Linked DNA regions of Lonchura striata. The protein of the gene in region 1 interacts with the protein of each later gene in a biochemical or structural test. Links are inferred from orthologs where the notes say so. Each region holds a gene or a part of one and is shown on either strand. Other genes may lie near its edges.

Region 1 (7,754 bases):
AGAATTCCAGAATGATTGGTGTTGGAAGTGACCTTGACTAACATCCCTTTCTAAACCCCTGCCAAGGGCAGGGACACCTTCCACCGTCCCAGGCTGCTCCCAGCCCTGCACAACCTGGCCTGGAACACTTCCAGGGATGGAGCAGCCACAGCTGCTCTGGGCACCCTGTGCCAGGGCCTGCCCACCCTGCCAGGGAACAATTCCTGCCCAGTATCCCATTGAATCCCTCTGGCAGTGGGAGCCATTCCCTGTGTCCTGTCCCTCCAGGCCTTGTCCCCAGTCCCTCTCCAGCTCTCCTGGAGCCCCTTCAGGCCCTGCCAGGGGCTCTGAGCTCTCCCTGGAGCTTCTCCTCTCCAGGGGAGCACCCCCAGCTCTCCCAGCCTTCAACAAATACATGAAGCTGAAGCCTGTGGCAATTCTCTTGCTGTCTGCTGGTGTCATGTCCAACAACCCAAGTGCCCAGATCTGGTTCTCTGCATTGCACTCTTTTTCCAGGTACCACTGTGACAGCACCAAAGCTGTGTTACAGCTCAGTCAGCTTTGTTCCAAACCACTGAGAAGGAAGTGTCTCCATGTCTGCACCTCGCTGTACAAACAGCCCCCAGGATCCCTGCTCCAAAGGGTGGGGGATAACCCCAAACCCATACAACAAAACCTGGCAGCTTCAGGCACCTCAGGCCAGAGGCCAGAAATCTAAAGTGACAAAATGTTTAAAGGATACACATGATACCAGAGTGTGTGTGGGATTTATTTCTCTTTATTATATCGTTCTACATGTTTTACTGTGGGAAGAGTTTCTTCTAGAGCAAGGAGTGGGAGGAAGGAAACATAACAGAAGGAAAGGAACTGTTGCTACAGGCAACTCAACTCTTACACAACGGTGCAATTTCTGTAATGGTTATGGAATCACAGAATCATTAAGGTGGGAAAAGACCTCCAGGATCATCAAGTCCAACTGTCAGCCCAGCACCACCTCCATGTTCACCACTAAACCATGTCCCCAAGTGCCACAGCCACACATTTCAACACTTCAGGCATGATGACTCCATCACTGCCTTGGGCACCTGTGCCAGTGCCTGACCACCATTTCCATGAAGTTTTCCTCTATATCCAACCCAGACCTCTCCTGCTGCAATTTGAGGCTGTTTCCTCTTGTTCTGTCATTTGTTACCTGGCAAAGAGACTGACCCCACCTGGCTCCACTGTCCCATCAGGGATTACACAATTTTGGAGAATTATAGTGCAACAAAACTACCTGCAATTGTCTATTTAAAACACAAGCTATCAGACGAACCCAGGACTTATTACAGGCAAAAATTGCAATAATATGAGCATTATTTCATACATGCAATATGATTACTATGCAGCATTTCTTTTTTGTAATTTTTTCCACCTCCTTCACCCTCTGCTTTTTTACCTGTCTCTCTTTTCACTGTGTGCATCAAATGTATTCTTTCAGGATTTCAAGTGCTATGATTATGGGTTTTTTTTCCCTCAAAGTCATCATTTTTTTGCCAGGGGAAAAAGGAGATAAAATGGTAACAACCCAACTGAAATGAAGGCCACTATATGGAGGAAATACAGAGAAATCTGCAGTTCTTCCCACACACTATGGAAGATGGAATTTTAAGTTATTTAGAAGTTCATCACCACCACTACACCATACACAGAAATTAAGCTTATATTGCAAAACCTCACCTAAAGCTACAGTAGCCAGTGCCTTTGAAAATACGAAACCATGAATCTGGTGTCCAAGCTGAAGCCTTCTTCATCAAATTTCTGCCCTGAGTCACAGAGGTTTCAGGCAAGACCGGCTACTGCAATTTTAATTTAATCTCAAACTAGATTCCCTTTCATCATATTTAACATGAGCAATTTTTAATATTTGCTTATTTGATATTGATCAAGAAAGCCAATGCTCTCATTGCACAGTCAAGAGAATTGCAACTGTTTATGAAAAAAAGTAATTACATTTAAATGACCTTTCCTAGTGCATATCAAACCAAGAAGAACTGAGCAAACAGGATGGGAGAGGGCTTGAGTCATGCACTGTACAATTTTATGTGCTGCAATAAATTCTGTGGTTTTTCGCATAGGCAATAAAAAATGGGACAGAGGAGTCAGTGGCACATAGAAACACTGAGCACGTGTAGCATTTCATTTATAGACAGGAGCACTCTCCTTTGGTGGGACAGCCCAACCTCTCACTGTCAGTGTGGAGAGCCAAATTAACCAGGACCCTCCTGTCAGGCCTTGGCATGGAGCTCAGGGAAAGGTTCTTCCCCCCGAGGGTGCTGGCACTGCCCAGGCTCCCCAGGGAATGGTCCCGGCCCCGAGGCTGCCAGAGCTGCAGGAGCGTTTGGACAGCGCTCTCAGGGCTGCTCAGGGTGGGGCTGTTGGGGGGTCTGGGCAGGGACAGGGGCTGCATGGATGGACCTGTGGGTCCCTTCCAGCTCTGGATTTTCTGTGGTTCTATGCTCCTCTCACTTTGATGAATCCCTTCACTTAAATCTGAGCAACACAATTTCTAGTGTTACTAATGATAGAAGAATAAGAATAAATTAAATGTAGTCCACATCTCTCAGTTGCAGTGAGAATCCATAGTATCCCACTGTCAGGGACATTCAGCAAACTGGTATTAACTGCACTTCTCTACCTGCATCAATGAAATGCATCATCTCATTACAGAGTCACTGAATCCCAGAACAGTTTGGGTTGGGAAGGACCTTAAAACCCGTCCCATTTCACCCCTGCCATGCCAGGGACACCTTCCACTGTCTCCAAGCCCTGTCCAGCCTGGCTTTGGACACTGCCAGGGATCCAGAGGCAGCCACAGCTGCTCTGGGCAGCCTATGCCAGGGCCTGCCCACCCTCACAGAGAAGAATTTCTTCTTCTACAGTAAAGAAAACTTCCTGGCACCTTACAGTCTCTAAAGCATCCAACTTACCTTCCTAACAGGGATCTTGCAGTCCAGGTTCATCTGTCAATGCTAGAGATGAGAAAGGAAACCTATCACAAAAATGAATATATTGCAGTCAGGTTTTTAACAGCAAACATCAGCAGGCAAAGAATTAAAAACATGCTTAAAAACTATTTAAATAATTCTGAAATCTTGCTTTACCTGAAGTAAGGAAATGTGAGAAGCTGATCAACTGAGCTTTAGATTCTCTGGAATGAGCCCACAGTTACAGCATCTGAGACTTCCCTTAAAAGCTTTTCTATAAATAACAACTCTGAGTGTTCCGAAAAGCAACATGAGCGTTGTAGAAGTCAAGTGGGAGTGCCTGGGGCTGGAAATACAGTTCTGAAAAATCCACAGAACCACAGAATCCCAGAAAGGTTTGGGTTGGAAGGGATCTTAAACCTCATCTTATTCCACACCCATGGGCAGGGACACCTCCCACTGTCCCAGGCTGCTCCCAGCCCTGTCCAGCCTGGCCTTGGGCACTGCCAGGGATCCAGGGGCAGCCACAGCTGCTCTGGGCACCCTGTGCCAGGGCCTGCCCACCCTGCCAGGGAACAATTCCTGCCCAATCTCCCATCCAGCCCTGCCCTCTGGCACTGGGAGCCATTCCCTGTGTCCTGTCCCTCCATGCCCTTGCCTAAGCTTCCTCTCCAGCTCTCCTGGAGCCCCTTTAGGCACTGGAAGGGGCTCTGAGGTCTCCCTGAATCCTTCTTTTAAACCCTTGTTTACAAAAAGTCCCATTGTCTCTGGAGTGGATTAAAGTGACACGTTAGAAGTTAAAAAGCAGACAAACATGCTTTCCCTTTAACGAAACCTTGCTACTTCTCTGGACATTTTTCCATTCTTGGGACTCTGCCTTGGGGTTTGAAGCATTTTGAAATTAATTACTAGACTGCTTTGTCACAGGTCATCAAACTACAGGGATGTATCCATCTTTGTGGGAAATTACACAAATAGCCAAGTAAGAAATTTTATTTTCTCTTTTATCACCAAAATGCACACACCCCCAACAAATCAACTCTTGGACTTGACCTTGGTGGCAGAACTTCCTTGGGATGAATGTCAGGAGAATGAAGAGCTGATTTCAGAGCTCTTTTCTAAAAATGTTAATGTTCTCAGACAACTGAGTGCATGCAGGATTTTACAGCTGCCTGGTAATCTTCTTAACTGCAGTAATCATACAAGAATTCTACCTCAAATGCACACCCAGAGCTGAATATATCACTTCTGTCACTGAGATGGAGTCTTTGGGGTCTCCATGGATATTTCTGTTCTTTCCTGGCATTTTCTTATCATTCACCTGCTGCAGTTTGATGGCCAAGTGCAAGAGGAGAAGTTTTTTCCCCACCTCCTGTCACATCTTTTATCTGAGTGTAGGATTCTGGCACTACTGTCTGAATACTAAACACAAACCCATTGCAGCTGGACTCAGAACTTACAAGGAAGTTGGATATTTTAACTTTCACCATTTCAAATCTGAGACACAAAGCACATCCTTCAGGATAACTAACCATGACAGTGACAGCAGGAATTTCTCACCAGGATGTATTTTCTCAAGGTATACATACTTATTCCTTAATATAATGTTGCCACCCTATTGAGTAACAGTGACTTTAAAAGCTCCCAGCCACCTTACACTGCAATTCAAGACAGGAAGGAAATGCAACATCCATTGAATCTGCAAAGGGCTCTAGAAAGAGCCAGCTGAAAACCCCACAGAGAAATTGAACCAGACCACAATTCATTCACATACATTGACAGGGTTTGTCAACACGATGGAAATGTCTTAATTTTAAAGGTTATGGGAAGTAGCAGTCATTTAACAAAGCATTTCTTATAGCAGATTTTTTTGAGTCCGTTGTACACTCAGGTATGCTCTCTTGAAAAATATCTCCCTTTCCTGGTGCTAATCAATCACTGCCTGTGTTATCATGGGCATTTTCCATGCATAAATAATACTTATATTTGTTTTTTTTTTTTTTTTATCTGGCCCTGCTTATACTAAGAATGGGAAGAACAAAACCTGATCTCACTGGAAATGAAGATTTAATTTAGATTTTGAATCTTAATGTATGATTTCATAAGTAACATTTTCAGGAATTCACAAAATGCAAATAATCTAAATGTGTCATCATCTGTCCCAGCATTGAAAACAGTATTGGCACACAGAAAAACAAACAAAAAAAAAGCCTGACTAATACAAAACCCTACATGAAAGCCCATAAATGTGTATTTGAAAAATCTGAGTAAGGCGATTATGCACAAAATAAACCAGCATGGCATAAATTCAACAGCTTGATCAAGCATTGTTGAAAAATAATGTTGTAAAAAAGTTAAAAATCGTGATGAATATATCTGAAATCAAAAGCCTCACACAGCAATTTGTCCCACAAGGAAAGTGTCAACCTCTCCTACTCAGTCATGTCAAACAGGGTGTACACTCAGCAGACCTCAAGGTACACTTTCAAAGACAGTTGTAGTCTGCTTCAGTTTTGTCACCTTCTTTTCACAAGTTTGCTGCTTCTTTTCTCTATTTTTAGTAGTTTGTGAATGAAGAAAACTGACTTAGTAATTCAATTCTTAGCTGTTTAGGAAGACATCCCTAATAGCATTTAAGTTAAAAATCCTTCATACTATTGACAGCCGTTTGTTTCTATGAAATCTTCCCCAATTTTTTCTATTCCTTCTCATTAGAGCAATTATTAGAGCAGCTGGCTGTGGTGGATTAAATTTATTACATTTACACCTGTAACCCAACATTGAAGCAATGCCTTTGCTAAAAGCTTTGCTTTGTTAAGTAAAAGCTTCTGCTTGAGCACACCTGGCTGGCACTCAGCCTCCCCAGTGTGCAGCAGGTGATGCTCAAAAGGCACACCTGGCACAGATGGGCTGGAGAGGTGGGTTCGAACCCATCTCACAAAGTTCACCCAAGGCCAAGCACAACTCCTGCACCAGGGTCAGGGCAACCCCAGGCACAAACCCAGAGAATGGATGAGGAGCAGCCCTGGGGAGGGTTGGGGTGCTGGTGGGTGAGAGGCTCAGCCTGCCCCGGCCATGGGCACTGACCCCAGAGCCCCCCTGGGCTGGGCTGAGCCCAGCGTGGGCAGCAGGGGAGGGGGGATTCTGCCCCTCTGCCCCGCTCAGGTGAGACCCCACCTGCAGAGCTGCCCCAGCCTGGGGAACAGCAGCAGGAGGACGTGGAGCTGCTGGAGCCAGGCCAGAGGAGCCACGGAGATGCTGCAAGGGCTGGAGCCCCTCTGCCATGGAGCCAGGCTGGGAGAGCTGGGGGTGCTCCCCTGGAGAGGAGAAGCTCCAGGGAGAGCTCAGAGCCCCTGGCAGGGCCTGAAGGGGCTCCAGGAGAGATGGAGAGGGACTGGGGACAAGGCCTGGAGGGACAGGACACAGGGAATGGCTCCCAGTGCCAGAGGGCAGGGCTGGATGGGAGATTGGGCAGGAATTGTTCCCTGGCAGGGTGGGCAGGCCCTGGCACAGGGTGCCCACCCTGGGTCCCTGGCAGTGCCCAAGGCCAGGCTGGACAGGGCTTGGAGCAGCCTGGGACAGTGAAAGTTGTTCCTGCCCAGGGGTGTGGAATCCCTTCCAACCTAAAGCATTTCCATGATTCCAAATTTTTCCAATGGTAAGAAATCTTTCAAAATAAAAGGCAATTCAAGACTCTCTTAGAATCTTCGTGCATTGCAAATACAAATTTAATTGTAATTTTTTCTTTGATTATGGTTTTATTAACTACAAAGTGTAGTTAGGCCTGACAGATTTTAAGCTTTTTATCGCTAGTGGACATGAATGTCTCCATGATGCTATACATCAGATGCTTTCAATGTTGCAGAATATTTCTGAATAGGTTATGGCTCACACCACTTTTTCCACTCTTAGCATCCCTTCCTCTGTGCAGTTCTCTGGATCAGCTGCTCCTAAACTTCTGTTCATGCCACATTAGCAGCCTCAGCAAAGAACAGTTACTGCTGAGTAACTTCAGATGCTCAGCTGGTCCCACAGACAAACAGACCTGTCACAGCCTCTCTAAGAGTGAGGAGTAAGTACTGGCACCCTGCTGTAAGTACTCTGGGACAGAAGTAGACATTGGGAAAAACTCCAGTAAAGACAACTCTGAATGACCACATTGTGATCATGTGCATGATCTTCTTCCAGTGCCATATGAAAAATCTGACAATTCTTGTGCTCAGACATTTTCAAAGCCATAACTCAGAGAAGACATGAGGTACAATGTCGAAAGACGAATGAACACTTGGAGCAAAAGGTTTTTAGAGACATCAACTTGATCAGTCAAAACCAATTGCAAAATAATTTTGAAGAATATTTTAAGAAATAACACTTGAGGTTTGATTGTGCTCTACTTAAGTTACTGGGTTTTTCTGAAGTGTTAACTTTATTTCCCTGTTAACTGTAACATCAGTCTAACTTTTGAGAAAAATGTGATAGAAAGCCTTTGGGAAATGGTTTGGTTTCATAGCATTAGATGGCACCTTTAAGCTAAGAACTTTTGGCAAAGCTAAACAAGACAGATCACACTAGGTTGTCCCAAGAGCTCATTTACTGCTGTGAATTGACTCAAAGCATATACTTCTACCATAGTTTTTATTTCAGAAATATTTCTGAAAGAGCTTATCCTTGATGTACACCCTTCTAAAACATGAACAAGCTCTGTGGTGCTCATAGCCCCACAAACGTGTCCCACCTCCCAAGGCTCCGGATACGCTCGCACCTGCTCCTGCGAGCCACCAGCAGATACCACAGAGCCCACATTGACGT
Region 2 (7,661 bases), on another chromosome or scaffold:
GCTTCAAGAGACATTTGTGTTTCTCTCCCAGCTGAAAGCCCTCTTTGGGTGCTGACTGAAGCCTGAGAGGTGGGGGTGAGGGGAGGCTGTAGGATGTGTCCATGTGGATTTTAGGCTGGAGGGGTCTTGGAATTTGTTTTTTGAAGCTGGAGGATGGATAGGGGAACATGCTGCTCTCTGTCTGTCTGGAGGCTGCACTGGCTTGTGCCAGAACAGCCCTTGTGTGGGCCTGTGCTCTGATATGGCCCTGCAGGGTGTTTTCTTGTGGTGAGGTGTGAAAGTAGCACCTTTTGGGGGGCTGGGCTGGGAGGAGTTGGTGGCTGGGACTGGGCTGGGGTGGCTCTGAGTTTCCCCAGGGTGGTGAGTTCCGTGACACTGTGTTTTTTGGATTATCGAGGAATCTTTGAGGTTGGAAAAGACCTCTAAGATCATTGAGTCATTATTGTGGAGGGCTCCCATAAGTGCTGGCTGCTCGCTGGTGCTTGGGCATGGCTCTGTGCCCACAGCCCCAAAACAGCACCTCTGGATGCCAAATCTGGGGTATTTTCCAGGCTGGCGTCCAGAGTATTAGTGGTTTTTTTCCTGTATCCCTGAGCTGGTTTGGGTTGTGAAGGGTGGACTGAGCATTTTGGGCCAGCTGCTGTGTCCAGGTGTGATGTGGCCACTCAGGCTGTTGGTACTTCTCCCACTGCACCGTCCCATTGCTGGAGCAGGGATCATGAGGGACAAAGTCCCCGGCAGAGAAAGACTGCAGTCACCTCCATCAGTGAAATGTGATTCATTAACAGGCCCAGGTTTGGCCCTGCAGGGCAGGGACTGGAACCTCTCCCACCTCCGTCCCCTGTGAATCCCCTCCAGCCGAGGGAGCCCCGCTGTTCCCGGGGGCTGGGAGCAGATCAGACATGCAGCTGATTAAGGCATGAAAGAACAGTCTGGGCAAAACCAGTGCTGCAGGACTTTCCACTGGGATCACTCTGGCAAGGCTGTGATTGTTCCTTTTGGATGCTGCCAGGCTCTGACAAGAGATGAGGTGCTCTTGCCCTGGCTGAGGGTCCCTGTGTGTGGATGGGTGCCCACCTCCTCCTGGGGAGAGAGCAGATCCTGCAGAGCTGCCAGCTGGGAGCAAGGGAATGCAAAAAGGACATCGAGTCTGTGGTTCTGGCTGGGAATAGGGAAGGGGAGCAGATCCCTGCCTGCCCAGCACTCAAACCTCTGGGAGTGGCTGAGCCTGGCCCAGCCCTGCCACACAGAGCCCGTACCTACCCCAAACAGATGCTAGCAGCGTGAAGCGAGTTCCTCACTGTGCCTCAAAGCTGTGAAAATCAACTTACTCTTGAAAAGCTCCTCTGAAATGCTACCCTGTCCCCATGCTGGCTGCTGCCCAGCTCCTGGGGCCAGGGAAAGCAGAGCTCTGGAATCCACTGGGGACTCTGGAATCCTGCCTGCCAGAGCAGGGGTTTTGAGCTGAAGCATGGAGATGCTGCAGAGCAAGAGCAGCCTGGGTGCCCGCTGGCAGCACAGAGAGCCTGGCAGTGCTGCCTGCCCTGCCAAGCAGTGCTGCAGCCTCCTGCTCACTGTGGGTGTTCTGTACAGAAGGATGATGATGCTGATGGCAGAGTTGCACTCCCAAAATTTTGGGAGTCCCTCTGTCTCAGGCGTACAAAGAGCCAAACGCACCCTGGCTCCCTGCCCAGTGCAGGGCAAGGGCTGCCCTGCCAGGGTGAATCCTCCCAGCCTTGGAGCAGGGCCCGTGATGCGGAGTGGAAGGGCCATGGGTAGGAGGGGAGGCAGCTGAGCCTGCCCATATGCTTCCTAATGGGGAGCAATAGCAGCTCTTCCCGGGGAGCTCGCGCCGCACCATCTGCTCTGCGCGGTACCTTCTCCTGCAGAGCTTTTTTAAGCTCCGAGTTCCCTTCCCGAGCACTCTGCGGTGGCTGCTGCTTGTGTTGCGGGCTGGCTCTGCTCTGTAATCGCCTCAGAACAGGTTGTCTGAACCTTCCACGCTGAGCAGAACATCCCAGACAGGCTGAAGCCAACCAGGCCTCCAGGATCTGTGCTTCCGTGTAAAAATAACCAGGAAAGGTGGTTGTGAATGGCTGCAGTGTGTCCCTGGTATTTGCCCTCATGCTGGGCACCCACTTGCCCTGAGGGTCCCTGCTTCTGGACTAGGGCTGGGTAGGATGCACTGCCCACAGGGGTGAAGCTGCAGGGTTCCACAAACCACTCCTAATCCCATGGAATATCCAGAGCTGAAAGTGACCCATAAAGATCATCGAGTCCAATGGGGTGTCCTGGCACAGGACACTCCAAGAATCCCACCTTGTGTCCAAGAGCATTGTCCAAATGTTTTTTGAGCTCTGGCAGGCTTGGGGCTGTGACCAGTGCCCTGGGGAGCCTGTTCCAGTACCCAAACATCTCTGGTAGAAGAACCTTTTTCTAATACCAACCTCAAAGTTCTCTGACAGAGCTTCATGCAGTTCCCTCAAGTCTTATCACTGGTCATCAGAGACCAGAGCTCAACACCTTTGCTTCCTCTTGTGAGGTGCCTGTGGGCTCTTGTAGTGATGTGTCCCCATCCCTATGCAAAAAAAATTATTGCTATTTGCAAAAGGCCAAATCCAAGGGCTCCTCTGGACCCCTGCTCCTTGTTGGCCGCTCTGGCCAGCTCTGTGAAGGGAAATGATGGCTGTATTGGGCTTTCCAAGGCCAGTGCTGCTGGCCACAAAAGTTTTCCCAGTGGGAGCAGTACTGGCCACAACCCTCGAGTGCAGCCTCCAGCTGCCAGGGGATTGCAGAGGGAGGTGAGTGCAGAAGCCTGGGGAGCTGTTCCTGGTTCCAGCAGTGCTAAATTAAGGCAGGATGTGCCCCATGGGCGTAGCTGGGGCTGAGGGGGAGGCTGGCGGGGCCGGGGATGCGCAGGCGGATGCCGTGCGCAGATTGACGGTGCCAAGTCACTTCAGATATCTCGGCTGTGTTTGTGCGAGGCTCTAAATAAAACCGACAGCCCTGGCGGCTGCCTGGGGAGGGGAGGAGGGGGGAGCTGGCAGTGGGTCCTCCAGTATGGCACCCAGCGCTGTCCTCAGGGACCCAGCCCGGTGTGGGGGAGTGCTTGGTGCGATCTGTGCTGCCAGGGATGCTGCAGGTGATGCTGGGTGGGCTGGGAGCTCCTGCTCTGCAGTGCCTACCCCATCCCTGGGAGGGCAGAGGGGACAGTGGGGTGGTGCTAGGGAGCTGCCAGCATTGCACCTGGCGTGGCTGAAGTCCCCACACCTGGGTGGTGTGAGAAGCTGTGACAGGTGCAGGCAGTGGAGAATGTGTCCTTGTGAATCCCCTGGGAAGGACTTTGTGGCGGGGACAAGCAGAGCGGTGCGGGGACATGAATCGCATGGATGCTGACACCCCCTTCCTCAGCCCTGCCTACCATCAGAGCTGCCTTGTCCTCAGGCTCTCGCTTCTCCCCGCTGAGGGGACATCACGGGCATGTCCCCACCGTCCCAGAGCGCCGTGCAGGAATTCCCTCTCCCTCCCCATCCATCCTCTGCCTGTCTGTGCTGCACCAACGTCCCCTCCTGGCCCTGAGCCCCGTCGGCCAAGCTGACCTGCAAAATACCACCCGTGCCTCTGCCACGGGCTCACAGCTCGGCCCTGCGTGGTCCCTTGGGAGGTCCCTGGGCACTTGGGAGCCCCAAAGCCGTGTGCTGTTTGTGCCTGAGCTGTCCTGGCTCAGCCCCAGGTGGCCCCTGGGTGTTCGGGACCGAAGGCTGTGTGCTCCTGCACCCCGATCCCAGCTCGGGGATGCGGCGCTGTGTATCGCGGCCGTGCCCAAGCGGCGGCTACCCCGGCAGCGCGTGGAGAGCGGGGGATCCCCGGCCCCCATCCCTGGGGCCGTGGAGCCGCCTCCCTCCCCCCGGGCCCACCGGGCATCCCGGGGCTGCTGGCGGCCGGTCCCGGGGGTCCCCTCCCAGCCCACCTTAAGGCAGCCGCACACCGGCTTGACCGGAGGACTCTGCCCCGGGGCGGGCGGGGCTGGCTTCGCCCCCGCCGCGGGGGGAAGCGGCGCTGCACCGGGGCTGCTGGGAGCCGGAGGGGGTCTCGAAGCTGGGGCCGGCTCCGTCCCTCCCCGGTGCCACGGCAACGGAGGCGGCGCGGCGGCCGGGGGGAGGCGGCTCCGCGCGGCACCGGGGCACGCGCCCGCCCGGGGCCCCGCCGCGGCGGCCCCGTCACGGCCCCGAGCCCGCTCCGGTGCCCACGGGCGGCGGCGGGGCCGCGGGTCCGTGCCGCTGCGTGCGTGTGCGCTGCCCGCCCGCCGCGGGGGGAGAAAGGGGGGAGCCCGGCCTCCTTCCTCATTTTGGGGCTGAGAACAGCGATTTCCTTCGCCAGCTGCAGTTCTGCGCTTTTTGCCTTTTTTTTTTTTTTTTTTTTTTTTTTTTTTTTTTTTTTTTTTAATTTGTCTTATTTATCAAACCCAGCCGCCGAGCCGGGCGCGGGGCCGCGCTGTGAAGCCGCGGGCTCCGCTCCCCGCACCGATGGAGCCGCATCCCCGGGATCCCGGCCGCACCGCCTGGGCATTGCCCTGCCTGCTGCTGCTCGCCCTGCCCGGTAAGCCATGGCTTCTGCCTGCATTCCTGCTCCTTTCCCTGCCCTGTTCCCCCCTTTCCCTCCCGCCCTGCTTCCCTGCTCTGCCCTGTCCTCCCCTTTCTCAGGCTGCTCGTCTTCTCTGCCCTGTTTTCCCCCTTCTTTCCATCCTGCTCCTGCCTCCTCTGTCCTGTTTTCCACCTTTCCCTCCCACACAGCTCCTCTCCCTGCTCTGCCTTGTTTTCCCCCTTTTCCCGTTCTGCTCCTCTCCTCTGCCCTGTCCCCCCCTTGTCTCCCTGCCCTGTCCCCCGTTTTCCCCCGATCCTGTCCGCACACCTCCGGTACCGACATGACGCCGCCTCTCCGCGCTCGGTCGCTTTGACCTTTCCTGCGGTGACCTCGAGAGCGGCGGTGGCCCAGGGGCTCCCGCGGGGCCCGTGCCCGGCGCTTCTCAACCCAAACTTCAAGGCAGGCAGACATGCCCTTTCCCAGCGAGGCAGGGGCATGAAGAGGCATGTTGTTCCCACCCATTTGCGAGCACCCCCTGCCAGCTATGGGTGAGGCAAAACTCCGCAAACAGCCCGAATTCCCACTTGGAGATGGTAGTGGAGAAGGCATGGAGAGGCTCTGGTGAGGGCTGTCTTGTCTTCTATGGCAGGAACTTGTTTTTCTTGCTGCCCTCCTGCTTCACCCCGCTGTGGGCTCTTTCTCTGCTTGACTGTTGGGCACTGAAGTGGTGGAATTGCAACACCTCTGGGCACTCTGTCCCATGTCATCCTGTGTCACCTGAGGCTCAGGGTGCCCCAGACCTCCCACGGGCTCATGGCTCCACCAGTTCCTTATAAAAGCTGGGGCATGCAGCAAAGGAGCAAAGTGTGCCACTCTTGGCTGTTTCCCTTGCCGGCAGCGCGAGGTCTCTCATCCCACCAGGAACAAAGCCCTGTGGTGACTGCTGCTTTCAAGGATGTTTCCTTTCTAGGGTGTTTCGTTTTGGGTGATTTCGAAGGAATCGCTCTCCCTGCCAAGGGAGGAACGGGTTTTTTGAGGCAAACCTGCAGCAATAGTGATGCATCTTCAGGAGCATCTCGCTGCTGAGCTTTTTGCTCAGTTCCAACCCCATCCCTTCCAGCCAGATCCCACTACGAACAGCCCAGCCCAGGTTCCACGAGGGAAACCCGCATTCTCCCAAGCCCATTGAAATAGTTACCATCAAAGCTTTGCTTGGGCAAAGAGTTGGATGAAAACTTGGGTAGAAAGCAAATGCTTTCAACACAACGCTCCTTGCTTTGAGTTGCCTGATCACAACTGAGAAGTGTTGGCCCCAAACTGAAAACTCTGGCTGCTGAGAGCCAAGAAGACTTTGGCGGCGAGTGCGGCTTCCCAGTGAGCCGCTGCGATTTCCTGCGTGAAAGAATAGCTCCAGCAAGCCTCCCGAACTTAATTAAATGTGGTCTTAGAGTAACAACCCCATTTCTTTGAGCCAGCCATGGGAAAAAACCACCCTGGGGTTTTGAAGTGGTTTGCATCCCTGATTTTAGGTGCAAACGTGCACGTCTTTTTTTTCCATATGGCGAGTCCCTCCTGGGCCGTGGCTCAAACTAAGCTGAACTCCAGCAGAGTTGGCCCAGGCTCCCACTGCCGGCTGTTCCGACAGCTTCTGCAGAAGTGAAGGGGAAAAGGAAAGGTCCTGGAGGAGACCTTCCTGTGGGGCAAAGGCAGCAGAGATGTGGGAACCCAAACAGCAAAGCCCCGTTGAGAAACTGTGCCCTGCGGAGCCCTTCCATGCTGGTCTGTCCCCACAGAGGGTTTCAGCCGTGCTTCACAGAGCCTCTTCCAAAGGGGAATTCAGTTTCCTGCTGGGGCTCTGGCTCTTGGGATGAATTTTTGCTGATGCTGGAGGAGGGGAGCTTGGAAATGGTGGCTGCGTGTGAGCCGAGGCTTCCTCTGATGTCAGGGATGTAAAACACAGCCTTTACTACAGCCCTCCCTGGGCGCCCTGGGGTCTGCTCAGGGCTCAGCAGCTCCCCAGGGCTTTCCTTGCCTTCCCTGAACAGCAGATTCCAGGCCTTTTATAGGCAGCACCTGTTAGTTTCCGCCCCTGGCAGCCCTGCTGCAGGTGAAATTCCAGCAGGATTATTTTGGGGTTCCCTTGCCCATTGGCTTGCTCCTTCAGTGAGTGACTGTGGGGCTTCGGATGCCGGTGACCAGCTGCACGTCGTTTCTGGAGCACACAGCCATCCCGGAGCTCCTCACCCAGCTCCTTCAGAGGAAAAAAAAATCTATTTTTACCGGGAAGCATCCAAGCAGCCTCTCCTGAATTAAACCCCGGCCTCTTGCAATCTGTTCAATATCAAATACTTCAAAAGGTGGAATATAGAAAAAAATGTGTCACCAACATGGAAAACTTGCACTGCAGCAAGAGCTGGGATTATTTTGCTCCCAAATTAAACTGAATAACGGGAAGGAGGCAGGCTCTGCTAGATCGTGCTCCTGCCTCTGCTCAAGGCTGGAAGTGCTCTGGGTCTGCACTGCGAGGGTGCTCCCACCTACATGGGAACTGTCAGGTGATGCTTTCCAGGGCTCTAAAACCCTTGGCTAATTCTGGAGTGTAGGATAGAACAGATTACAGGGTCAGAGCACCTAAATGCCCCATGATCTTGGGGGCAAGAGGATCGTGTTCCAATTCCAGGTGGCTTGAAATCCAAGTCGAAGAAAAAAGGTGTCATCAGGCAGTAGGGGAGAAGCAGGGAAACAGTGAGAAATTGTGGTGTTCCATGTTTTTGTGATTTGAAGACCCCCAGCATCTCACTCCTGGTGCACAAGCATGTCGTGAGCTGCTGGGAAGAAGCTTGGCTGGGCTTTTGCTCCCACTGGCTGGGTGCCTCAAAAGGGGAAGGAGACATATAAGCTGTGTGTGAGAAGCTGTGTTCAGGGAGAAAGAGGAAAGAAGCTTTGGTGGAAACTTTGCATTTTCTAACTTGTGTGTTCTGGGGTTTTCTGCCGACTTCCCCTTTGTGTTTTCCCTTTGGGGAGGGGGGGCATTGCTGTGAGCTGCTGCAGGGAGCTGGGGTCATTCTGAGCAGGAA

What was found.
Region 2: the proteins of MATK (region 1) and tyrosine-protein phosphatase non-receptor type substrate 1 form a complex in vitro, tested with the Homo sapiens proteins (3 studies listed by BioGRID, with this or other methods). The link is inferred for Lonchura striata from reciprocal best matches to the Homo sapiens genes MATK and SIRPA.

The regions. Positions count from the first base shown.
Region 1 is NC_134630.1:1,926,888-1,934,641, reverse strand, and holds the start of MATK (megakaryocyte-associated tyrosine-protein kinase), read right to left. Parts: upstream 3,275-7,754; 5' UTR 3,123-3,274; intron 3,011-3,122; 5' UTR 2,982-3,010; coding exon 2,949-2,981; intron 1-2,948.
Region 2 is NC_134619.1:7,298,454-7,306,114, reverse strand, and holds the start of tyrosine-protein phosphatase non-receptor type substrate 1, read left to right. Parts: upstream 1-4,413; 5' UTR 4,414-4,526; coding exon 4,527-4,599; intron 4,600-7,661. UniProt on the Homo sapiens protein: Immunoglobulin-like cell surface receptor for CD47. Acts as docking protein and induces translocation of PTPN6, PTPN11 and other binding partners from the cytosol to the plasma membrane.